4 linked regions of the Saccharomyces cerevisiae S288C genome follow. The gene in region 1 interacts genetically with each later gene. Each region holds a gene or a part of one and is shown in the gene's direction. Other genes may lie near its edges. The genes, in order: CCC1, MMT2, COT1 and MMT1.

Region 1 (6,030 bases):
TCTATTACCATTCTTTTCCCAACACTTCCTAAATAACGCCATCTCGTTGAAGCACTGCCTCCAGTCACCTGTTTCGGCATGGCACAGCTGTAATGCGAGGTTCTCTACGTAGCATCCGGTCTTGGATATTCTCGTGTCCCACACATCCGGGTCTTCGTCTTCTTGGACCTCTTTGTATTCTTCCAGCGCCTGCTTATAATACTCTGAAGTTTCGCCAGTTTCACTCATGACCAGTCTGCCAGTTTTAGCCTGCCAGAGCTTTTCTTTCCCTTTAATCTTCCCTTGTTTGGCGCAACTCTTAGAAGTGCCTTTCACTACCTTTAATGGCTGAGGCCCCTTTTTTTGTTTCGGACATTTGTTGTGAGAAAAAAAAGAAGAAAATAAAAGCATAAATGAAGCGAATGGATGAGAAGAGGGGAGGGAAAGCAAGAACGAGAAGGACAAACATCAGGGACCCATACTTCAATAAATTGCTTGATTTGGTGTTAATCAATTCTTCTAACATCAAACCTCTTTTAGTTTCCTTCGATCGTTTCACGTTGCTTATATTGATTGCTTTTTACTTCTATTTTTTCACTAGAATAAACAAACAAAGACATTCTGTTGATCAAGAAAGTTGAAAATGGTATTTGGTTTTACAAAGAGGGACAGGAGGGTACCTGATTTATCTAGGTATGATTACTACTATCAGAACCATGAAGATTATAACAAAAGTCCTCAGCTCTCTGCTGCTGCTGCCTCTGCTGCTTCTGCCGCATCACCGGATCGAACCAATTACTCAAGGTCGCACTCGCTGGTTAGTCATGCACCTTCAATACCGAGACAAAGAAGTTCGGTAAAGAGCCCAGGAAGAAGGCTTTCCACATCCTCTGCCGCTCCGCCAACGTCCAGGGCAGCAGCTAAGCAGTATTCACAGAAGACTTACTCGTTGAGGTCGCAAAGGAGCGGAGAGTACCATTTACACCCGCCCGGTTATACTACTAATGGGAGCCGTATGAATTCTATGACGTCTGGTGCGAATGTCAGAAGAAACTACGGTAAGAACAAATCGACGGCCGGCAACAATAACGATTCAAGGGCCAACTCCATTACCGTAAAGACTACACAAGTAACAGACCCTTCAGGAAGGACTCAATCAATTACCAAAAAGACAATAAGAAAAATAAATGGGTATGAATACGTAGAAACCACGACTACGACTAAGAATTTGGTTCCATTAGGTGACTCGCAGCGTCATTTCGATGAATTTAGTGAAAATTACATGTTGCAAGATGACGACATTTTAGAGGAACAAGCTAGTGATAACATTCACGATATAATCGAGGAAAACGAAACAGATAACGAAAAGCCATATTCCCCAGTAAGCGAAAGTCATTTACAAGATGATTCAGAGCTAAACGTGGAAAAACCAGATTTCCCACTTGGATCATATTTCCACCATAAGTATTCTACAGACGTTATGCCTCTAGAAGAAGAAAGTAGTTTATCAAACTTCAGTGACGCATTAGATTATATTCCTCCCACCCATCAGACCAGTAGTAAATATATTCATAATAAAAGGAAGCAAGCATCGACGACAAGAAGGAAGAAAAGACCGCCTGCCGTGAAAAACGCAGAAGCAGAGGCCAAGAAACCATTAACCGAAGCAGAAATGTATCTGAAGGCACTAGAGGTTGCTAAAAGAAACGTTTATCACACGGATGCTGCTTCGGATAACGCATCGGCCCCCCTCGGGAGTAACAAATCCAGGAAAAGTAGGATGGGTCAAAAAATGACCTTGAGAAGCAGTAGTGATTCTCCGACGGCGACTGCTAATCTTGTCAAATCTAATGTCGAGGTTCAACCAAAAAGATTTACAAGTTCCTTCTTCAGCAGAAATACTAAAAGCGCCCCCCATGAAGTGCACAATCACTCTGTGTCTACACATTTTAAATCGAATAAGGCTGTTGACCCAGTTCCAGAGCCTAAAAGTGCAAACACAGGGCTAACAGATAAAGAAATGTATGACCAAGCTTTGAAAATCGCACAAGCGAGGTATTACAACTCACATGGTATTCAACCTGAAGCAGTCGATAATAGCACTACGGCGGCTAAACCTCGTCAGGTCGGCGTTAGCCATCTGGGATCCACTGGGAGCATCCCGCCCAATGAGCAGCACTATTTAGGGGATTCTGAAATTCCAGTCCAAAGCGAAGTGCATGAATACGAGCCCATTCCATTGCAGAAGACAAAAACAACTGGTTCTTCCAAAAATAAGTTCAAAACCATGTTCGATAAAGTGCTGCAATTCTCTCAAGAAAACTACGGCTACCAGCACAAGAAGGAACAAGGCGAACAAACTCCAGTTACTCGTAATGCTGAAGAAAGCTTCCCAGCAGCGTCTATTTCGGAAGGTGTGACAACCGCAAAGCCATCTTCAAACGAAGGTGTGATGACGAATCCAGTAGTTACAGATTCACCTTCACCCCTTCAACAACAAATAGACTCGACTACTGCGTCCTCGAATGGGCAAAGTCAGGGCAATGTACCTACCTCCGCAGTAGCTTCAACAACGAGAACAAGATCACCGGAACTGCAGGATAATCTAAAGTCTTCTTCTTCGCTTTTACAGGACCAAACCCCTCAGCGTCAGGAAGACGCCACGGATCCAACAACATCATCGACGAATGAATTATCTGCCGCTGAGCCAACAATGGTCACTTCGACACATGCCACTAAGACAATACAGGCTCAAACACAAGATCCTCCCACGAAGCACAAGAAGTCCAGTTTCTTCACTAAACTGTTCAAGAAAAAAAGCAGCCGTTAGCAGTTGTTTACTCGAATTTTGCAATCAACCCTAATTTTTGAAGCCTGGTTTTAGATTTATTCTCTTCTTTTTCTTCTTGTGAACTTCAATTACTAATGTAACTTAATTTTTAATATAACTTTTACAGTTTAATAATATTGATTTTTTTCGGTCTGGACCAATCGCGCCGCATTTCTCACTAATATTACTAACATACCCTCTTCTCATTGGCTCGGTACCCCTTTCGTGACCCGCATTTTTTGTTTTCTTTGTTAGCCCGAATGTCTCACAATGAAGATGTAAAATTAAGATTATATATGAAAAATTGATACAAAACAAAATAGTTCAAATAATCAAGTTAAAGCGACATCACTCTCAATTTTTGCTTTTTTTAGGTTTATAGAATAGAAATATAACAGAACGAAGCCTTTAGACTCTTTTTTTTTATTGGTATATTGAACAAAGAAACTTTTTTTTTGTCCTCCCATATCTCGTGCACACAAATATTATGTCCATTGTAGCACTAAAGAACGCAGTGGTGACCCTTATACAGAAAGCGAAAGGTAGTGGTGGAACCTCAGAGTTGGGGGGGTCTGAATCAACTCCCTTGTTGAGGGGTAGTAATAGCAATAGTTCAAGGCATGATAACTTATCCTCATCTAGCTCGGATATTATCTATGGTAGAAATTCAGCGCAGGATCTAGAAAACTCACCGATGTCAGTAGGGAAAGATAATAGGAATGGCGATAACGGTTCGGATAACGAAAAGGCGAACCTAGGGTTCTTCCAATCAGTAGATCCTCGCGTAATTAGCGATTTGATTATCGGGCTAAGCGACGGTTTAACCGTCCCCTTTGCTCTAACAGCTGGTCTATCTTCACTTGGTGATGCGAAATTGGTCATTACCGGTGGCTTTGCTGAGTTGATCTCAGGTGCGATTTCTATGGGCCTTGGTGGCTATTTGGGAGCGAAGAGTGAATCTGATTATTATCATGCTGAAGTAAAGAAGGAGAAAAGGAAATTTTACGATAACTCCAACCTAATTAACAGAGAAATTGAAGACATTCTGTTAGAGATTAACCCTAATTTCTCGGACGAAACAATCGTTTCGTTCATCAAAGATTTACAAAGAACACCTGAGCTAATGGTTGACTTCATTATCAGGTACGGTAGGGGTCTAGACGAACCTGCCGAGAATAGAGAACTAATCAGTGCAGTCACTATCGGTGGCGGTTATCTACTTGGTGGGCTAGTACCACTAGTGCCATATTTTTTTGTCTCAGATGTGGGCACAGGTCTCATTTATTCTATAATAGTCATGGTTGTAACATTATTCTGGTTTGGTTACGTAAAGACAAAACTATCCATGGGTAGTGGCAGTTCGACTTCAAAGAAAGTTACGGAAGGTGTTGAAATGGTTGTTGTGGGTGGTGTAGCAGCAGGTGCGGCTTGGTTCTTTGTTAAGTTACTGGGTTAAGTGTAAAGTAACAACACTATACATATTTATTGTAAAGAAATTTGGGATTGAGAAGCTTTGCTATATACTTGGAACTGGGCTGGATTTTCTCGACATACATTTCTTTTACGTTTTAATTTGTTTCTATATTCTCCTCTTTAAATTTATTTATATTAATGAATTTCAAACTAGTTTCTTTTTCTATTGCCAAGAGGCCCATCAGGTGATCCATGATAACCTTTATTCGCATTGAATCGTTTTTCATTGGATCTAATTCGTCATTTGGTCGCCGCCTTTCTTTGCTCCTTCTGCTTTTTTCTTTTTCTCTTTGACTATCAGGTCATAAGATCTTCTCCTCCATTATGCCCAAGTGTTTTTCTTTTTTTTGCCTTTATATAAATTACAAAATACATACATATACTTCTCGTGCAGTATACTGGAATCAGCTTTATACCATATGAAGCACAACTTGGATCAGGACCGCTCTTCATTAAAAATCGAAGAATTATCTAAATAATTAATGTGCACGTCAATATATTCTCCGCGGAAACATGACAAACTTTTAGAAAAAGATTTAAAGCAATATTTTTCAGTTCTCCATTTCTTTATTTTTCAAGACCAATTCTAGTTCACCAATATCAAACATTCCTATGCCTTCCTGCAGAGCATCTGCCAAAATGGATAGTGATTTATTCGTGAAATCCGGGGCAGCTCTAAGACGATTGATATCATCACCGTAGTTTTCAAAAAGTAAATTTAAGTATTCTTCCCTTAACTTTGTCTTGTCTTTCCCTTTGGGCACAAAGTTTTCTGCCAATTCATTGTATTCTTCTCTCGCAAGCTTGATATTTTCGGCAATTTTCGATGCATTCATAAAACCCTCCTTGTTTTGAGATTTCGTAGGCTCTGGGATCTTGCTCAAAGAAATTTTGGTTAAATCGTCTATCACTTCTTTTGAATTTAACTTCAAATCCTTGCTTTCTTCGTCTGTAAGCTCGACATCCGAAACTTCTATTGCAATGTCCTCTTGTTTGTCTTCGTCATTACCTTTTGAGAAAACATGATCACTTTTACCATTTTCTCCAACGTGTTCTTCGATGGCCCCATTTTGGATTTCCTCCTTTTCACTTTCTGATGATGGATCCGATGATGAAGAATCTGATGATGAAACATCAGCTGTTCTTCTCTTCTTCCTCCTTCTGTTTTTTTTGACAGACTTGATATTTATGGCTGATATATCACCTGCCGACATCCTGTATAATATATTATGGCTAGTTCTTTCCGTGCTATTTCAAGTGGGCAGTTTAAATTCTTGTATATATTACTACAATATATGAAAGTTTTCGCTCTTCGTTTTTTGCAAATTTTTAGTGATGAGCTCTTCGCGCAAAGAAGTTTTCAATGCCCGTAAAGGCACCTAATTATATATCGAATTATTTTAAGCTTTCCGCTTCATCAATGCATTTTGTCTTTATATATCTAGTTTACAAAATAATATGTTGCTATTGCCTTGCTTTTAAAGGCTCAATATCTTGGACTTACTGCCTAGAATAGCTTATCCATTTCCACTAGCGCGTAGTCTAATATGTAACTTTGTTCAACTAAGTTATCAACCCTTGTGAAATGCCTTTGCGTGTATGGAATTATTGCATCAACTATCTTTACCATTCCGGGTATCTCACTCAATTTTGCTATGTTATGATGCATCAAAATACATCTTATTGTTCTTTGCGCTATGGTATGTGTTTTTGCATTTGTATTCCAATCTCTGCATCGTTTCATTAAC
Region 2 (6,469 bases), on another chromosome or scaffold:
GGCTGCATGTTCGATATCTTTGAGGTTTGTAGAAGACATGCACTTTTCCAGATCCAGATCTACACCGAGTCTTTGAGACATTATCTGCGCGTACCTTGTCGTAAACACATACTTGTACTCATTAGCACTGAGCTCTACCAACTTCTGGACCCTTTCAATCATGGTTTTCTCTAGGGCGTCATCAACAGAATTCAGTTCGCCCTTAAGTAACAATTCAAGGTCACGGGCCTCAGGACCCAGCAGACATGCGAGATCCTTGGCAAACTGTTGCAAGTTCCACCATATAATGCTTGGCTGGTTGGCAAACGAATATCTCTTCGCTGTGTCATCATGGTTCGGGGTAAAGCTTGGTTCAAACTTGTCCAGGAAGGCAAAGGGGCCATAATCAATTGTCAGGCCCATAATGGAGGTGTTATCCGTATTCAAAACACCGTTAGCAAACCCATACGCTTGCCAATGGGCCACTGTGTTTGCATTCAAGCTAACTACATGTCTGAAAAACTCATCATATTTGCTCAATGTGGAAATGTTATCTCCGGTCATGGTACTCACCTCAGTTTCATCCTTTTCCACCTGCTCATCAATCTTCGTCTCAGTGTCAGGAAAAAAATCCCTTTTGAATATATTAAAGTCGGGTTTCCCCTCAAATTGGGTCCCCCCAGCAAACAATTCCTCAATGCAATAATCTGATAGTTGGATCAACCCTTTCAAGTCGTGCCGCCATCTGAATAGGTTGAAGTTACCCAAGCGGATCCAGCTGGGCGCAAAACGGCATACAACAGCGCACGGTTCTTGATTGCGCCTTTGCGCCTTCGTCCCCGGTAACAGAGTTAATTGCATAGCTCTTGTGGATGGAATTCCAATACTGTGCAACGCCTCGCTCATTATGAATTCACGTATGCTTGATCTTAACACAGCTTTCCCATCTGCAAACCGAGAAAATGGCGTCATACCGGCACCTTTCAACTGAAACGTTTGCCATTGTCCGCTACACTTGTCCTTAAGATCAAACAAGTTTACCACACGTCCGTCTCCCAGCTGTGCAGCAAATGAGCCGAATTGAAATCCGGAGTACACTGTACTATAGGGAAAGATACTATCGGAATAATATACTTTCTCACCGGATAGTATTTTCTCCAAGTCCTGATCCTGCACCAAATTAAACTCATCAAGTGCGTTTTGCGAAAGCAGTAATGGCTTGTAATGTGGTTTCTTAGTGGGCAAACAAAATGCAAAATGAGCCCCCTGCGAAACCATCCGAGGCGTATGGAAAAGCTTTAATCTCACGGGATCCGTTGCATTGTACTGCTGCACGACGTTTATTGCCTCTTGTATGGACGACAGGGAAGTATCTGCGGTCAACTTCTTGATGAAGTGGGACGCTGCAGAGTTTTTCAGCGCTTTGATTATTGTCCTTTTTTCCCCCATGATTGTGTTACACGCTCTATCTTCTTTCTCACACCTTCCTTCTTCTACTTCCGGAGTATAGTCTCTAGCTTATCCTTGATGGCTCTTTTTATGCAGGCAGAATAATTACAGTGACGTATTTGTGGCTTCTTTGGCACAACGTTTTGTTCCACGATCACCTCATATCACCGTTAAGTTCTTCATCGTCCAATTCCGGAGTTCCCCGTCAGCCGTGCGACCATGTGGTATTTCACCCGAATAATTAAGGGAAAACAGAAGGAGAATTACGTATCTTAAAGGAGCTAGACTCTTTGCCTCATTGAGGCTTTCTATACATCGGGTCCCCATGTATGGTCCGTTCCATAGTCGAAGCATCCTTAATTTCCTGTGACATTACAGTAGTTTCGCCGTAGAGCCTTTCACGGGAAGAATATGTTCAGTGGTTCCAGGTATGGGTTTGAGGATGTTCTTGTAAGGTGTGTAGATCCCATCTTTTTTAGGGATCACAAAGGGAAAATAACTACACAGCATGTGGTGGTACAGATGAGGTCAATGGCAGTTTTGCCTTAGTTGTAAGTAATTAACCAATCCTTGTCGTGCTTCTCATGAATGTGTATGAATTTATGTTCATCAGAATATCCCTCTTTAACCACAGTTCTTGCGTAAAGCATAGTCTGGCTTCCTTTAGAAAAAGGAAATGTGGTAATTCTAGGACCACGTTTTGGGCTTCGTCATTTCTTTTCACTCCTCCACTTTTATGACATTTGATCGCAAGTTCCTCCATACATCATGCCTAGTAATCAAAACAAATAACGCACAAGGGAGTAAAGGGAAATGGTTAGAAAAGACCGAAATCCTTTTTTTGGTCTCCGTTACGTGCTTGTTAATCAGGCTCCCTTGAAGCAGTCAATATTTCTTGGACTATAAAAGCACATTACTATTTCATCAAAAAAAGGATACATACCTACCCTCAACTCTTAATATCTACTAGCAGCAGAGCCAAACACTACCGCATAAAAGCTAAGTACGAATAACAATTAAGAAATGTCCAATCTATTAAACAAGTTTGCTGATAAGTTGCACGGCAACGATCATGATGAACGTTACGAAGACGACAATGACGACCAGACTAGACAACAGCGTCATGAAAAACATCAACAGAGGGAATTCAGGAATCAAGGATCCAAGGCCGATCCCTACGGCGAAGAAAACCAAGGGAATTTCCCTCAACGCCAGCAGCCACAGTCTAATCTAGGCGGTAACACGCAGTTTGGCGGTAACGACTTCCAGCAACAAACTACTGACTACACTGCCGGCACTGGTGGTGGCACTTATACCCAAACTTACCGCGAAACTAACACTCAAGGTCAGTTGGACGACGATGAAGACGATGACTTCTTGACTTCGGGCCAACAGCAAAAACAAGGTCGTACAAGAGGTGCTCAAAGTAACCGCTACCAATCCTCTAATATCGGCAGCGGTAGACGCGATCTGTCTGGGTCAGGAAACGATGAATATGATGATGATAGTGGGAACCAAGGCGTCTGGTAGATGCGGTGGTCGAAGCTTCTATTACATGCCTGAGGTGCGGGTCTCACCCTTGAGCAGCAAGTGAGAAATTTTACCCTAATTTCGTCTTCTTTTTTCTTTTTTCTTCATCTGGACCTATTATTGGTCATGATGCCACTTTTTACAAACTATTTCATATGTTTAATCTAGTTTATTTAGATCTACAGCTGTCAGTTTATACGTTTTTATTAATGTCAGTTTGATTTGATTAGTAGTGACCTTTTTCGTCGAGGTATGCCGTTTCACGGACCTCCAGATCCAGGTGTATAACAATAGAATTATGGGAAAACGGGGTGGGAAGGTCGTTGTCTAACTCAAACCTCCTGGAATTAGCGGGTAAAGTGTCGTTATTGTGCTGGGCAACAACTTTTTTTTACGATTTCTTTTTACCTCTCATCTAGGTTAGTGTTAGTTGTAAAAACCCGAGCAGATTGGTGCCTTTTCAAGTGCGTTCTTACAACCATACTTTTTTATTCTAGAACGTGTAAGCAATTACTTTCTCAAAAAAGCAAACGCAATAAAGATATGCTACGGATAAGTATTGACTCTATCAAGCAATTCGGTTCCTTTGTGCCAGGTTATAACAACACTAGTTACCATGCTGCCGGGAGGGCCATAAGAACATCAAGCCTGTACAGTACAATGATCTCAGCCAACCCGAGAAGGTGCCTGCATTCTTCGAAACTGCTAAATAAAGAAGGTCAAGAAGAGGGCTATAATGAACAGCTCATTTCAAAAATGTCTTCACAGAATGGATCGAATTCCAGACAGAATGAAAGTGAAGGAAAGAAGGAAGGCAAGGCTTCCTCTGTGAAGTCGTTGTTGCAACATACTCATAGTCACAGCCACACACATATGCATGACAATCCTTTATTGTCACTGAACGTACAGCAGATCAAGAAGAATCCTGGCGTAAGAATAACATGGATAGGACTTGCATCAAATGTGGGGATGGCAGTAGGAAAATTTGTAGGAGGAATCACTTTTCATTCTCAAGCATTACTTGCTGATTCCGTACATGCTCTTAGCGATTTGGTATCTGATTTTTTAACACTGTTTTCTGTCCAATATGCGTCTCGTAAACCAACTTCGGAGTACCCATATGGCTATGGTAAAGTGGAAACTGTGGGATCTTTGGCAGTATCCACAATCTTAGCAATGGCTGGTATATCTATCGGTTGGTCGTCGTTATGCGCTATTGTGGGGCCTGTCATTCCTCATGCCATTCTAGAATCGATGGCCGGTTTAATTGGTGAAACGCATTCCCATTCTCAGTCGCTAACACAACAGGCAACTAATGTAAATGCTGTATGGATAGCAGCGGGTTCTATCTTGGTTAAAGAATGGGTTTTTCAGGCAACAAAGAAAGTTGCAATCCAAACAAATTCTAATGTACTAATGGCAAACGCCTGGCATCATCGTGTTGACTCCTTGACATCGTTGGTAGCGTTGGTCGCTATCACATCTAGTTATTTTTTCAACATTCAATCCTTAGATAATTTAGGTGGGCTTGTAGTGTCAGGTTTGATCATAAAAACAGGTGGACAAGGTATCTTATCCTCACTGAAGGAGTTAGTTGACCAATCTATACCACCTACTGATCCGCGTTATCTAGAAATCGAATCTGTCATAAAAGACAGCATTGGCAGTTTGAAAACAGACTTAGATCTCAAACAGTCGTTACATGTTAGAGACCTTACTATATTAGCTTCCGGTCCTAATCTTCGTGCCACCACAACTTTGGAAGTGCCAGTATTACATTCAGGTCAGGAAGTTGGGATAAGATTTTTGGAAAACGCTATTTCGACTATAAGAGAGGATTTACGTATGAAGGTGCCAAACGTGGGGAAGGTGGACGTCGAGTTTGTTGATGTAACCTCTGACTCTAAAGGTGATTTGGAGCACTCTCATGACACTAAATCAACAAATCATACTCATACTCATTCTGATTCTGCCGATACTCACACCCATAAACATTAGGGAATTCTCAATGATGAATTTTTTCAAAAGTTAAGAGCAAAAGTACAGCCTTTCACATTTCAACAATTTACTGAGCTTAATATATATATGTATATATATATATGTTGAACAAGGAAGAATGCCTTGTGTTGTTCCTTTGTATAAAGTAATGTATTCTATATAATCAATCACAAATATATATGCATGTTCATTTCTGACCGACAATCCAATCGTTCAAGCCGTGTTTATTTCTAGCAATTTCAAAAGCGTAAAATTGTAGTCTCACGACAAAACAAGTAGTAAATTGACCATACTCGGCTGAAGCGTCTGTCCTCAACAAAGTACCAAAGTTATAGTCTTCGATTTTTTTCTCAAAAATTGTGAAGAACTTTCTCCATCTTTCCTTGGCTTCTTTTGTTTTTAATTCTTCCTCCGTAAACTTTTTGACCCTTTCAACATCTTTGTATTCTGGGAATCTCTCCATAAAATTCTCGTATATTTCGTCATCAAACTTAGTCAAACGTAACTTGGAACCGGGAACACTTGTTAATAGTTTCCAATATGTTTCCGCTTGTTCAACAGCAACAACAGCGAATTGTTTCTCGATATCTTCCAAGTTATCAGCGGTTTCTGCATTAAAAGTAGACATTGTTATATGATTGTTTCGTCGTGGTTCTTCTAGTCCATCTAACCAGATGTAGCTTTAACGGGTGAAAATTATCATTACTTCTGCTAGTCGAAGAATTTATGGATGTTCATCACTCCCTAGTACAACCTCTTACCCGGACAATTTCTTCAACAATGTTCATTCATCTTTAGTTTAATGAGGGATTTATAAGGTGAAAGCCAGTAGTAAAAGTGTATTTAACCCCTTTAAATTATCGCAAACTGTGCCTAGCAGTTCAGGAGTTATTTTTGGTATACTTTTGGAGCACGATTCATAACCTCATGTAAGAAATAATAATCAATCTTCGTGTATTTTTAAAATAATAATCCTTAACAACGACCTCTTACATAAATTTGTAGTTCAACATCGACAATTGTTAGCATCAAAAAGGATCCCTTAAGTTTAAGTTTACATAATTAATCTGCGTACCGTACATATATGAAAAGAACCAATATTAACTACTCTGTATGAAAAATGAATTAACCTAGAAAACAAAAAAGGAAGGAGAGCGTCATATGCTTGTCCTAAATTCTATCAACGTAGTAAACTCCATTTGAGGAGTGAATTAAAGAAAAAAGATGGAGTGAAACAAACGAAGTTAGCGAAGATAAAACACTAGCCAGTAGGCTTTCAATCTTCTTCATCGTCAGTATCAACTGGTTTTGGTGTACCTTTTGGCGATGACAACCACTCAATGTAACGTAGACGACGACGTTCGGCTTGCAGCTTCTTTTCATTTCTTGTCAATCTCTTCTTTCTTTGCTTGACCTTGATGTTAGCTGGAGAATCATCGTCATCTACAGATGGCTTGGCCAAGTTGGAGGCCTTTAGACCAACGGCATCAGCATTACCACCATCTTCGAATTT
Region 3 (6,199 bases), on another chromosome or scaffold:
AATATCTTAATTGGCCACCTGTGGCAGTTCTGATTTTTTTGAAAACCAAGTTTCCTAAGGCGCCGCCACCAGGGATGTGGAGACGTTGCATGTTCAACTTGGTATTATACGCGGTCCAGAAGATTTTCTTGGTGAGGAAGGGCAAATTATCAATTTGGTTTAAGATCCCTTTTCTCACTGTTTCCCAAACAGCGGCGACACCAACCATGATTGTGGGCTTGAATTCTTGCAAATCACCTTGACAATTTCTCACAGAGCTGCTAGTTAAAGTTTTTACGGTGGCATAACCAATGCAGGCCCCCCAATAAAAGGACAATAGTTCGAAAACCAATTCAAAAATATGAGCTAGTGGCAAAAAACAGATAACACGGTCGGTATTGCCCACAAACTTCAAAACATTCAAACTTGCACCACCAACACCTGCGACAACATTTGAATGTTTCAAGACAACACCCTTTGGCTCACCTGTAGAACCAGACGTATACATGATGCAACAAAGATCATCCTTGCCAGGTGGATGAACATCGATTTCGTTACAGGATTCTTTACCTAGCTTCAAGATGTCGTCAAAGCTAAAGGTCTTGATATCAGGTCTAACTTCTTTAATTCTGTTGATGGCATCATGAGCAGATTGATAGATCTTACCACTTTGCCTCCTGTCCTCAGAACTGATGGAATCGAAATGAATTATGTATTTTACGTCTTGAGCGGCTTGCACTGGTTTGATCAAGGATGGTAATAAAGAGTTATCGGTAAAAATGGCCTTAGACCCCGTTTGCACCAAAGAATGAATTAGCCCTTTCTCTCCCAAAGTATCGTAGGCAGTGACGACAGGAATACCTTGAGACTGCGCTCCTAAGAACATCTTCATCCACTTGTGAGAAGTGGCTGCGTAAAGATGTAATTTGTCATCATCATTAGGCTTTAATCCTATTTTCACCAACCCACGACCAATTTCATGCATGATATCGGTCAATTGGTCAAATGAATTATAATGATAATGCGATAGTTCATAATACATCCATTTCTTTTCCACTGAAGTCTCCTTGCCATCAACTTTTTTCATAACCGATTTGGATTCTTCATGAATTTCCTTAACATCCCTCCAACCCATAGCATTTGAATTTTTGTTCTTCTGAAAGCACTCTAGAACAAACTCATAAACAGTGGAACACTTTGTGTTAGGCGGTCTGACGAGCGGCTTCTCGCGGCATTGATAATTTCTTCTTGGAGCAGTTTCATGCTCATTGGCGGCTTTCCCAACTGGAACGGTATATTGAGCAACCATATTGTTGTCTTTTTTTGTCTTTTGTGTTTGTTCTAGTTTTTATTGTATCCTAACGAGTTTTTTAACAACAAGAACTTTCTATACTTACTAAATATACTACAATTGTCTCACGACAAGTGAGGGGTAAAAGGAAAAAAAGAGAGAAAAATAAGCGGTTAAAGCCTTTTACTTAAAGACAGCGAAGGAGATCTCCAAACATTTTTGTTGTAATATCGATAATACGATATCCGCGAAAGGAACCAAAAAAAGCAAAAAAAAAAAAAAAACGCGCGAGAACAGCCTATCTCTGCTGTCCCGTATGCACAGGGAAGTTCTCCTGATATGCGATGGGTGGGTGCCCCTGTGTCATTCGTATTATATGATGTATTCGTGCCTGTATCATGCATAAATATTCACATGGCGGAGATCATGTTCCTGACAGGGCGTGATCGACTTTACTATTGTCCTTGTCATTCCCTTATGGAAGAATATGACAGGGCTGCATCATCCATATTCTAAGTAATTCTCTTTGCCGCGCTAAGCATGGCTTCATCGCTTGTTAGAAGGCGCATTTGTTATAAAGTTCAGCCGGCTCTATCGGTCCGCTAGCTAGGTCTGTTTACTTTCCGCAGCGTAAGCAGCTGGCAAAGTGGATCGGTCTTACATCTACAACGCAGTGACGTTTCTGATACTTTGGTGACGTATTCTTTTCTCACCGCTACGTTTTCTTCGCCCGCTCCGTGCGGACCGAAAAAAGACCCTCTCCCCTTATAAATTTTGTCAGTATTATAGCAATTGCCTGCGGACTTTCACCGCGCTTAGATCAAGAGGGCATCATGAGGCTACCTACAATTGACATACTAAGTCAAGAAAAATAATAGTGTATCGAATACGCGTGGTAGCTACATTAAATACTAAAGTATGGTTTTTTTTTTTAAGTAGGTTTACTCTTCATATTCTTCATTTTCATTTTTCCTTTTCTTCCCGTTCTTCATTTTTATTCCTAGAAAAAAAAATAAATATGTCTATCGTTAACCTAAACATAAACAAAGTTTAGCCCGCTTATTTAAATGATGCCCAGTACTTTTTTTCAAAACTCATATAATTATATATATCAAGAATGCTTTCCAACCACCGCTTGTATTAAGGTGTAGAAAGGTGGTTTTTGTATTCAAAAAGAGTACAAGCCCATTATAGCTAACTTAACAGTCCACCCTACTATATCCCACGCATATCTGGTTTTAACTTGTGGCGGGCGATATGGAACGAATTTTTCAAAGTTAACCATAGAAAAAAGCATGTGATCAAGGCAGAGTGAACGAGGGAAAAAGAAAGTGTGGAGAAGGCCACCTTTTGAAAAGTTTACCAATCGATCGGTCTCTCAGCACTTTCTACATTTAATCTCTTTATAGTGAACATCGCTGGCTCATGCTGGTTCCCATGCATAACTCACCCACGGCCGCCAACGGCCGCTTATCACTTACTGTCGCCAGCTCCGGTCTTAGAAAGGGTAAAAAAAACCGGGTGTATACTATACACTCATACATCCGCTCACCCGTTTCCAGTAGTGAATTTTCATTTTCTGTACGAAGGCAATATAAGCTGACGATCCGCATAAAGCAGAAGACTCATTTGTAATGCAGAATATCCGTACAATAAAGGAATTTATTGGTCTTATATATTCTACGTGGGAGCTCGAAAAGCATTTCTGGTTCTATTTAGTAACCAATTATTTTCACTTTGCTCAGAATAGTTCTGCATAGCTATAGAAAGAAAGTTAACACAAAGTACGGAAAGATTGAGTAAATATGAAACTCGGAAGCAAACAGGTAAAAATTATATCCTTGTTGCTGCTAGACACAGTGTTCTTCGGGATCGAGATAACTACCGGGTACTTGTCTCACTCTTTGGCTCTAATCGCGGACTCATTCCATATGCTAAACGATATAATTTCTCTTGTGGTTGCACTTTGGGCCGTAAATGTTGCCAAAAACAGAAATCCGGATTCAACGTACACTTATGGTTGGAAAAGGGCGGAGATTTTGGGTGCTCTGATTAACGCCGTCTTTTTGATTGCCTTATGTGTCTCAATTTTGATAGAAGCGCTACAAAGAATTATTGCTCCCCCCGTGATTGAAAATCCTAAGTTTGTGTTGTATGTGGGTGTCGCAGGGTTGATATCGAACACCGTTGGACTTTTCTTATTTCACGACAATGATCAAGAGCATGGACATGGACACGGACATTCCCATGGCGGTATCTTTGCCGACCATGAGATGCATATGCCATCATCCCACACACATACACATGCCCATGTTGATGGAATAGAGAATACTACACCAATGGATAGTACGGATAACATTAGTGAGATTATGCCTAATGCTATAGTAGATAGTTTTATGAACGAAAATACTAGATTATTGACACCGGAAAATGCATCCAAGACGCCATCATACTCAACGTCAAGCCATACGATTGCCAGCGGCGGAAATTACACAGAACACAACAAGCGCAAGAGATCTTTAAATATGCATGGTGTGTTTCTTCACGTTTTGGGCGATGCTCTTGGCAACATCGGCGTTATGTTGTCTGCATTTTTCATTTGGAAGACCGACTATTCTTGGAAGTATTATACAGATCCGCTTGTCTCATTGATAATTACCGGTATAATTTTTTCCTCTGCGCTTCCTCTATCGTGCAAGGCTTCCAAAATATTGTTACAAGCGACACCTTCCACTTTATCCGGCGATCAAGTAGAAGGTGATCTTTTGAAAATACCAGGAATAATAGCTATTCATGATTTCCATATTTGGAATTTAACAGAGTCTATTTTTATTGCATCTTTGCATATTCAACTAGATATCAGCCCGGAACAATTTACTGACCTGGCCAAAATAGTTAGATCAAAACTTCACCGCTATGGCATTCACTCCGCTACTTTGCAACCTGAATTTATTACCAGAGAGGTTACTTCAACCGAAAGAGCCGGAGACTCCCAAGGTGATCATCTACAAAATGACCCGCTTTCATTAAGGCCAAAGACATATGGTACTGGCATTTCAGGTTCCACTTGTCTTATCGACGACGCTGCCAACTGCAACACAGCTGATTGCTTAGAGGATCATTAAAAGGACTTTATAACGAAAAAGCGTGAAGAATTAAATACTTTTAAAAATCGTTATACGGTACATATACATACACACACACACATATATATAGTCGTCTATAATGTTTTTATACAATGTTTATCATAAATTTTGTTACAGTAAGAAGTATAGGAGATAATATAAAAAAAGAGGAAAAGCGAAAACAGGTGATAATAATGATGATCATAATAATAATATAATAGCAATAGTCTTGCAAAACAACAACTTGAGGAAGGAAAATAGTAATAATGGTGTTTAGCTTTTTTTAGATTACTCCAGCTTCTAAAAAAGAGTACAATACTTAGCACAATAATGCTGTTATCTTTTTTCATTTAATTAAAAAGACCAGTTGTTAAGAAATAATAAAAAAAAACTCCTTTGTTTAGAATTCAACAAATTAGAAGAAAAAGAACCTAGTTATTGTTCTAAAACCTTTGCCCACTGAACTTTTTTGTAGTCCTTCGTACTCTGTAGTTCATTACATTGCGTCAGCTCATCGCGCCTTCCTGACTGAAATTCGTAACCTCTTATTACTGCCGCGTCGGGAAGGTCGTCTTCATTGTCTTCTTCATTATCTTCATCTTCGCCAAAATTACTAGCTTGCCCATATATTTGGTCTTTAAGCTTCTTGTATTTCTCCTTAATTGAAGAGTTTACTGGAATTGTGAGCTTCTCCCAAATACTAGAAATTGCTGGTAATTTGTTTTCTTCATTGCTCAAAGTAGAATTTATTTCGGTGGCAAAGATGGTAGCGTCATTTAATGAGCCTCGCGACGAACTGACTATGAGATTCAGAGATTTGGCTGGTACTGTTAGAATTGATTTTTTGGGCTTCAATAGACGGTGAGAGGGTTCGTACCTTGTTGGCTTGAAGGTCGATCTGTTTACTGGAGATAACCTTTTTTTGAGTTTAGGCAATAAAAGTGGCACATCACTGTTGGATTCCAGTGGGCTCATCGGAAACGAAGAATGAATCATTCGGTGGAGCTCCAGTGCTTCTTTATTAACAAGCGGCTTACAGTTCCAGACAAAAGAATCAACGCCAAAAGGATCTAAAGAATCAATCTTTTCAACATCAGGCGATGTCGAGTTTATCGAAGATATATCACTCAATGGACTAACTAATTCATGTTCTGAAAAGCAGTCGTTATCAAAACTCAATCCAGGACTGACAATATTCCGGTAATCATTATATCCTTCGGTCATAAATGGATTGGTGATTTCACCTTGATTTTTTTTTATTGATACGCTAAGAGTTTGGGCTTTGACATTCTTTGAACTTGTCTTAAATTTGGCTTGGTATAAACGAAACCGTTTGGAGGGCGTAGTGTCTTCTGCTATAAAGCCTGATGAATATTTACATTTTTTACTTGGTGTACTGGGTATTACAAGCCCAATTTTTTTTTTTGATTTCGGTGTTCGCAACAAAAGTGTGTCTGAAGAATGCATTTCATCCATGTTTTTGAAATTTTTTTTTTCTTAATTTTATATTTCTCTTGTTTAACTAATCAAACATATTTACAGAACAACTTATCACCTAAACGCGCCTAAGTTCCAAATATAGCTGAAGTGTGGAAGGCACAAAGAAATGTTGCGTTTAAATAATACTTCGCTTGATTTTCCTCGTAGAGTGACAAAATTGATCCATTTTAAATTAACAAGAATGTTACCGCTTTAAAACTAAACTGTAAACAGTATCGAATGACATTTACGGTAACGGGCTTAAAATTCAAGATTTTCCTATCGAAATGGGCATGCATCTGTCGTTTACCTAAGCAAGGCTATG
Region 4 (6,277 bases), on another chromosome or scaffold:
CGTGGTATTGCTAGAAAAACCAGAAAACGGTGCTCATAGTATATGTGGCATCCCAATACGTGATCAATCTGGTAATCTCAATGTTTGTTTGCACTCATACTTTGATAGCGCAAGCCTAGGAATTGCTCTCGATGGCTTGGACAAGCCTCCGACTTCTTATCTGCTTGTTCACAATGAAGATTTTGAAAAAAAGTGGGACGTGTTAATGACTTCTACTTTTAGAAATAGAACTGTGCCATTAAATATAATACAGTATTTGATCTCTCATACTGATAGTAATACTGAGTTTAATCGAATGTTACGCTCCAATTTTGATGATTCATTACTACTTATTGAGAAATGTAAAAAGTTTATTAAGACCTTCGTGGATGTTTCCTGTTCTGTTAAAGATGTAGATTTCGGAAACGGTTTCAATTTACGTCATCTACCGCTTAAGTTTTCTGACAACATGGCTGATAATTTGGAGAGCTTGTATGAAAGTGTGCGGAAGTGCTCAATTGAATTTTCAGAAAAGCCGACAATTATCAGACTGTATCACGTATCTCGGCAGTTTCCTATCGATAATAGAGATATTATTGATGGCAATAATCTAGATTTGCTTAAGGAATTATATCAGAAATCGTTAACCATCCCGTTGAAGGTTTCTTATTGGACTAAGTTGACCAGAAAAATATGTAGGCTTGAATGGTTATCCGTTTATGAACATATATTCATTGAGCGATGTGATATTAAGAATGAAGACCCTGCGAAATATTCACTTCCACTGTTATATTCTTACTTCGAATTTGGTTTGAAATATTGTGATTCGGAAGATATAGATAAGTTAGGGGAAGTGAGAAAGCTGATTTTAAAATATCAGGACATGATGCAGAAAGTTCGAGTTTTTCTAAAAAAGGATCCACCCTCAAAAATATCGCTAAGTGATTTAGAAGACGTTTTATTAGATATAGAAGAATATCGGTTACCCATACAAAGTAGTTTTTTCAGTGAGCTTGATTATGTTATTAGAGAAATTGAAAATGCAAAAAAAATGAACGATGTGAATATTCTTTATAACACTGATAATATTGATAAAATAGACGAACTCATCAGGAAAAATGATCCTAAATTTGTGAAGTTTGCGAACCAGTTTAATGGTTCGAGATTAGATAAGAGACCGCTGGCCAGTGATAATTCAGGATCAGTGAAAGCCAAACAGGAGTTAAAAGTTTTCAAATTATGGAACCAGCACTTGGATCAAATAATGCAAAAAAATAAATTTATTGAGATACTGCCGTCGATTTTTAGATGTTTAGATTTGAAGTCAGACAAATACATTCCTTTGGAAAGTTGTTCTAAGCGCCAAACGAAATATTGCTTTTGTAGAAGGGTTGAAGAAGGTACTGCAATGGTCGAATGTGAAATATGCAAGGAGTGGTATCATGTGGATTGTATTAGCAACGGTGAGTTGGTTCCACCTGATGATCCAAACGTTTTATTTGTTTGCTCGATATGTACACCACCCTGTATGGCCGTTGACAATATCGAAGGTGTGACTTTTGAGCTTGACGACTTGAAGAGGATCTTAGTAGAATCTTTGAAGCTAAGTTTAATTCCAGATCCCCCTATCTTGAAGAATCTCTTTGACGTTTTTGCGTTTGCTTTGAACTTCAAAAATGAAATGGAAAAAGAACTATTTACTAACGGTTATGTAAATCAATTGTCCTCTACGCACAAGATCAAGTATTACTTGAGAAAGTTAAAAGGGTCACAATGCGGCTTTACTAATCTGACGGATCCCTTAAGGAAACATTGTCAGGTGAAAGATGCAGAAGCAATTAAATGGCTCACAGATAATGGAAGAATCATAATCACAGGAATTCCAAATTGAAACGTAATACTATCTTATTGATTAAAATCACTATTTACTTATCTAAAATGTACCTGCGAAGTCTGCATGACATATTCTCTCTTCTTTTATTGCGCATACCTCGTTTACTCATACTCAGATGTTCTACGACGTTTTCTATGGTTGGCAGTAGTTACCTATTGTTGACACTCCAGTATTGGGTGTTTCCCATCCAGCATAATCCCGGTAAAAAAAGACACCCCAGAATCTAGGAGAGCTCCTTTCGAAGGTGGAAAAGCGCGTTTTGCTGTCAATATTGATGTTTATTAGTAAGTGTTTACCGTTTCTTGATAGCTTTCCTTACGTAACAATTGTTCTTCTGCTTTCCTTCGTAGGAGGAACGCGCCAAGGCAATTTTTCTCGAGAGGTATGAAAAAAATAAAAAAAGCTCATTTCCATGACAACTTCAAGTAATTGACCATCTATAGGAACCCTAAGACTTTTGGCAACTTCGACTTAGAGCTCTTTTTTGTGGTTTTGTTCATTTACGCTAAATAACTGAGAGTTTAAATTTATTGATTTATATATTATTGCATCACACAAACATCGCTTTCTTTTTCGCATTTTTGACAATGTTAAGAATCTGCGTAAAAAGGCCCTGTATAAAGATCGTTCTTTCACAAGTACGTCCAGCATTACTAGTAAGGAAGGAGAATCTCCACATAAGTACTGGAGTAAAAGTTGAAAAGAGCAGTATAATAAACCAAAAGGACCCTAATAAAGTACGCGTTGAGATAAACGAGTTAAAGAGACAAGCTGAAATTGAAAAGGCTGCAATAAAGGAATTGGAGAAAAATCCTCAATACCAAAAATTAGCTGAAGCATTCAACAGTCATGATCATGTTCATTTACGTGAATCAGAGACCGAGCAAAACGACATAATTTCATTGGGCACGATACGAGACTACAAAAGCAGTAAATGTGAGCAAGCTGATAAGCCTTCGTCGTTGAATCTGCATTCGCATACACATTCTCATGGACATACGCATTCTCATGCTGCTCACAATCCATTATTAGTACTTAGTACTGAGCAAATTAGGAAAAATGCAGGCGTAAGAATCACATGGGTCGGCTTAGGTGTAAACGTTGGTATTGCTATAGGTAAATTTTTTGGAGGTATCGTATTTCATTCACAAGCGTTGTTTGCGGATGCTATCCACGCAATAAGTGACATGGTTTCTGACTTGTTGACTTTGCTTTCGGTAGGGCTAGCAGCCAACAAGCCAACCGCTGATTATCCATATGGGTATGGCAAAATTGAAACTGTTGGTTCCTTGGCAGTTTCAACAATATTAGCCATGGCTGGTATATCAATAGGTTGGAGTTCCCTTTGTGCACTCGTAGGGCCTGTTATCCCACATACAATCATTGACACCATAGGAAACTTAGGTCATGCTCATACTTATTCTGAAGACATTATTGAAGACGTTACTGATATCAACGCAGCCTGGATTGCCGCCGCTTCCATTGCAGCTAAAGAATGGATATTTAGAGCCACAAGAAAGATTGCTATCAACACTAATTCAAATGTACTAATGGCAAATGCTTGGCATCACCGTGTTGATTCATTAACTTCTCTTGTTGCTCTGGTTGCAATCAGTACTGGTTATTTGGTTAATATACAATCATTAGACACGATTGGTGGTTTAATTGTTTCTGGTTTAATTATCAAGGCTGGTGGCGAGGGTATGTGCATCGCAATAAAGGAGTTAATCGATCAGTCAGTTTCTCGTGATGATCCACGCTACCTAGAGATAGAAACTTTGGTTAAAGATACGTTGAACAAACTGATCTCTAATAATAATTCTCAGAAACCCTATGGATTGAAAGAACTGACGTTACTGTCCTCAGGACCGAATTTACGCGGACATTTAACCTTGGAAGTTCCTTTACAAAAATGGGGCAATATTTTAGGTGTTAACGAGTTTGAAATTGTGACACATCATTTACGTAATGTGTTAACCAATGAAGTATCGAATTTGAGAAGACTGGATATTGAATACGTGGAAGAAAAAAATGGTGAGGAAAATGAGCATATCAAGGGACAACAAAACTACAAAGAAGATGTTCTTATTAAGCACGACCATACGAATACTCATATTTGAGCTTCCCACAGTAATAATAACAAGTGAAGAAGAGAGGGAAATGTCGAAAATACCCGAAACGCATTTCACAATTACAAAAAGGCCAAAAAAAAAAAGGAAAGACAATACGCTTATATTTGTCACGTATACCTACTATTTGATTTATGTACGTTTTATATACAAATTGCATTTACTATTTATAAAATAAATCATTAACTATAATACTCTAACTGAATGTTTTAGGATCTTCTCTATTAAAAATATACGTGGAAAACGACTATGGCTGCCCGAGAGACTAAAAAGGAAAGAGCGAGGGATATAACAATAGCAGTCATTACTGGTGATAATAATGACATAAAAGAATTACTGAAGGAGGCAAAGTATATACTGTCAAGGGTATAATGGTGAAAGTAACTGCAGCTTGTATCATAATTGGTGATGAAGTGCTGAATGGAAAAGTAGTTGATACAAATTCCACTTTTTTTGCGAAGTATTGCTTTGATCATGGAATTCAATTAAAAGAAATTGCAACTATAGGGGATGATGAAACCCAGATCGTAGATACTGTGAGAAGATTAGTCAAAAATTATGATTTTATCATCAGTACAGGTGGAATCGGCCCCACTCATGACGACATCACTTACGAATGTATGGCGAAAAGCTTTAATTTGCCTTGTGAACTAGATGAAGAATGCAAAGAACGAATGAGGCATAAATCTGACCCTGAAGCAAGGCTTGATGCAGATGCTCTAAAGGCGCATTACCAAATGGCAACCATGCCAAAAGGCACAAACGTCAAAAATTATTATGTGTGTGATGACTTGTGGGTACCTATTTGTTCTATATCTCACAAAATGTATATACTACCCGGTATCCCTCAACTATTTGCAAGGATGCTGAAAGCGTTCACTCCCACGTTGAAAAAAATATATAATTTGGACAAGGATCCACGTGAGTATGTTCGTTATTTTGTCAGAACACACCTAACTGAGTCTCAAATTTCTAAAGAGCTAAAGTTGATTCAGGATGAATCAACAAAAGTTTCAGAAGCCATTAAAATAGGCTCATACCCACATTTTGGTATGGGATTCAATACAGTTAGTATTTTGGGTGAAAAGAAAGACGATTCATATCTGAAGAGTATTGTCAATAGAGTTGTTAATAACCTCGAGGGAGAAGTAATTTCTTCTGAACTTGAAAACAAGTTCTCGAACCAGGAGAGCTGAATACCCGAGTATTTAGAACTATGTATAGATATAGATTTTTTTTTTGGGAGCAAAGTCATCTCAGTCATCGCCGGTAGTTGCGCTTTCTTCTCAACAAAAAAGTACACTGCTCGTGGTAGAAAGGTACCTTGAAAAATTAAAGATCACATTGCTACTGTTAGAGCTTCAATCGCTAAAGTAAACATTTGAAAAATGCATATCCGAAAGGACCAAACCAGCAAAAGGTATATAATTCATTCAATAGATACAACTGCTCCATGAAAGGAAAAACCTTCATTTACGGTCGCGTTTTTTTTCGTGATATAAAAAAGGTAAAAAAAACGCGTCGCGTTAGAAAAAAGGTGTGTGTGAAGAGAAAGACCCATTGAATGGAGAGTTCGGTTCTTGGGAATTGCACTGAGCCGTGGTGAGTTTGTTGCTTTACTACATCTCTTCTTTTATAAGCAACGCTTAAGCTGAACCTAGTCAACACACATAACTGAAGTCAATTTGACCAGGTGCAACTGAAACCTGGATTGGAATTGGTATTCACTTGAACAAAAGACTCTGGTAAAATGTCTGAACTCTCTCAAATGACATTGAAGATCCTTTACACATTGGATAATGGATCCAATGGTAGTTATTTAGCCCGCTCAAGGGCTCCAAAACAGGTAAGAGTTGCTAATATTCCTAGTCCATTCCCGACAGATTCGAATGAGCAAACGGAGTTGCGAATTGGCGCCATCCATTTGAAGACTATACTGCATGAAATATACTTAAATTCACCTGAAGTGTTAGACCATGACACTTTAAAAGATGGATATGATTATAACTTGTATTATCGTGACATATGTGAAGTGGATGAGCCATTAGTAAGCCTTGGTCTTCTTTCCGGGCTTCGAAAAAAGTTTCATAAGAATAGCCCCTACCAGTATACAGAAAACAATATTGGTGAAGAAGAAAGTGAAGAGAGAGATGAGGTAACTGAAGAAGAGTATGAAGATGAATCTTTTATAGTTACTGGAAGGGTATGCTCGAATGTTTCCGCTTTACTACGAAGATCATATAGCAACATCTCGAATAAAAAGGGAAGGGTCGTA

Evidence for each region.
Region 2: of CCC1 (region 1) and MMT2, a mutation in one rescues a mutant of the other (synthetic rescue), as found in Saccharomyces cerevisiae (one study listed by BioGRID).
Region 3: of CCC1 (region 1) and COT1, extra expression of one rescues a mutant of the other (dosage rescue), as found in Saccharomyces cerevisiae (one study listed by BioGRID).
Region 4: of CCC1 (region 1) and MMT1, a mutation in one rescues a mutant of the other (synthetic rescue), as found in Saccharomyces cerevisiae (one study listed by BioGRID).

Annotation. Positions count from the first base shown.
Region 1 is NC_001144.5:573,529-579,558, forward strand, and holds CCC1 (Ccc1p), read left to right. Parts: upstream 1-3,296; coding exon 3,297-4,265; downstream 4,266-6,030. Other genes in the region: COA4 (Coa4p), read right to left, coding at 1-390; MSC3 (Msc3p), read left to right, coding at 623-2,809; RSA3 (Rsa3p), read right to left, coding at 4,834-5,496; U3 snoRNA-associated protein UTP13, read right to left, coding at 5,790-6,030. UniProt on the Saccharomyces cerevisiae protein: Has a role in both calcium and manganese homeostasis. Involved in the transfer of iron and Mn(2+) from the cytosol to the vacuole for storage of these metals.
Region 2 is NC_001148.4:125,121-131,589, reverse strand, and holds MMT2 (Mmt2p), read left to right. Parts: upstream 1-3,501; coding exon 3,502-4,956; downstream 4,957-6,469. Other genes in the region: FMP40 (Fmp40p), read right to left, coding at 1-1,428; GRE1 (Gre1p), read left to right, coding at 2,452-2,958; ribosome-associated Tef1p biogenesis chaperone CHP1, read right to left, coding at 5,144-5,584; NEW1 (New1p), read right to left, coding at 6,233-6,469. UniProt on the Saccharomyces cerevisiae protein: Mitochondrial metal transporter involved in mitochondrial iron accumulation.
Region 3 is NC_001147.6:904,432-910,630, reverse strand, and holds COT1 (metal cation transporter COT1), read left to right. Parts: upstream 1-3,075; coding exon 3,076-4,395; downstream 4,396-6,199. Other genes in the region: long-chain fatty acid-CoA ligase FAA1, read right to left, coding at 1-1,288; YOR316C-A (uncharacterized protein), read left to right, coding at 2,696-2,905; SFG1 (Sfg1p), read right to left, coding at 4,831-5,871. UniProt on the Saccharomyces cerevisiae protein: Vacuolar transporter that regulates zinc homeostasis by mediating zinc transport and storage into the vacuole. Plays a role in resistance to zinc shock resulting from sudden influx of zinc into cytoplasm.
Region 4 is NC_001145.3:614,106-620,382, forward strand, and holds MMT1 (Mmt1p), read left to right. Parts: upstream 1-2,460; coding exon 2,461-3,993; downstream 3,994-6,277. Other genes in the region: ECM5 (Ecm5p), read left to right, coding at 1-1,870; FPY1 (flavin adenine dinucleotide pyrophosphatase), read left to right, coding at 4,374-5,198; SPT21 (Spt21p), read left to right, coding at 5,753-6,277. UniProt on the Saccharomyces cerevisiae protein: Mitochondrial metal transporter involved in mitochondrial iron accumulation.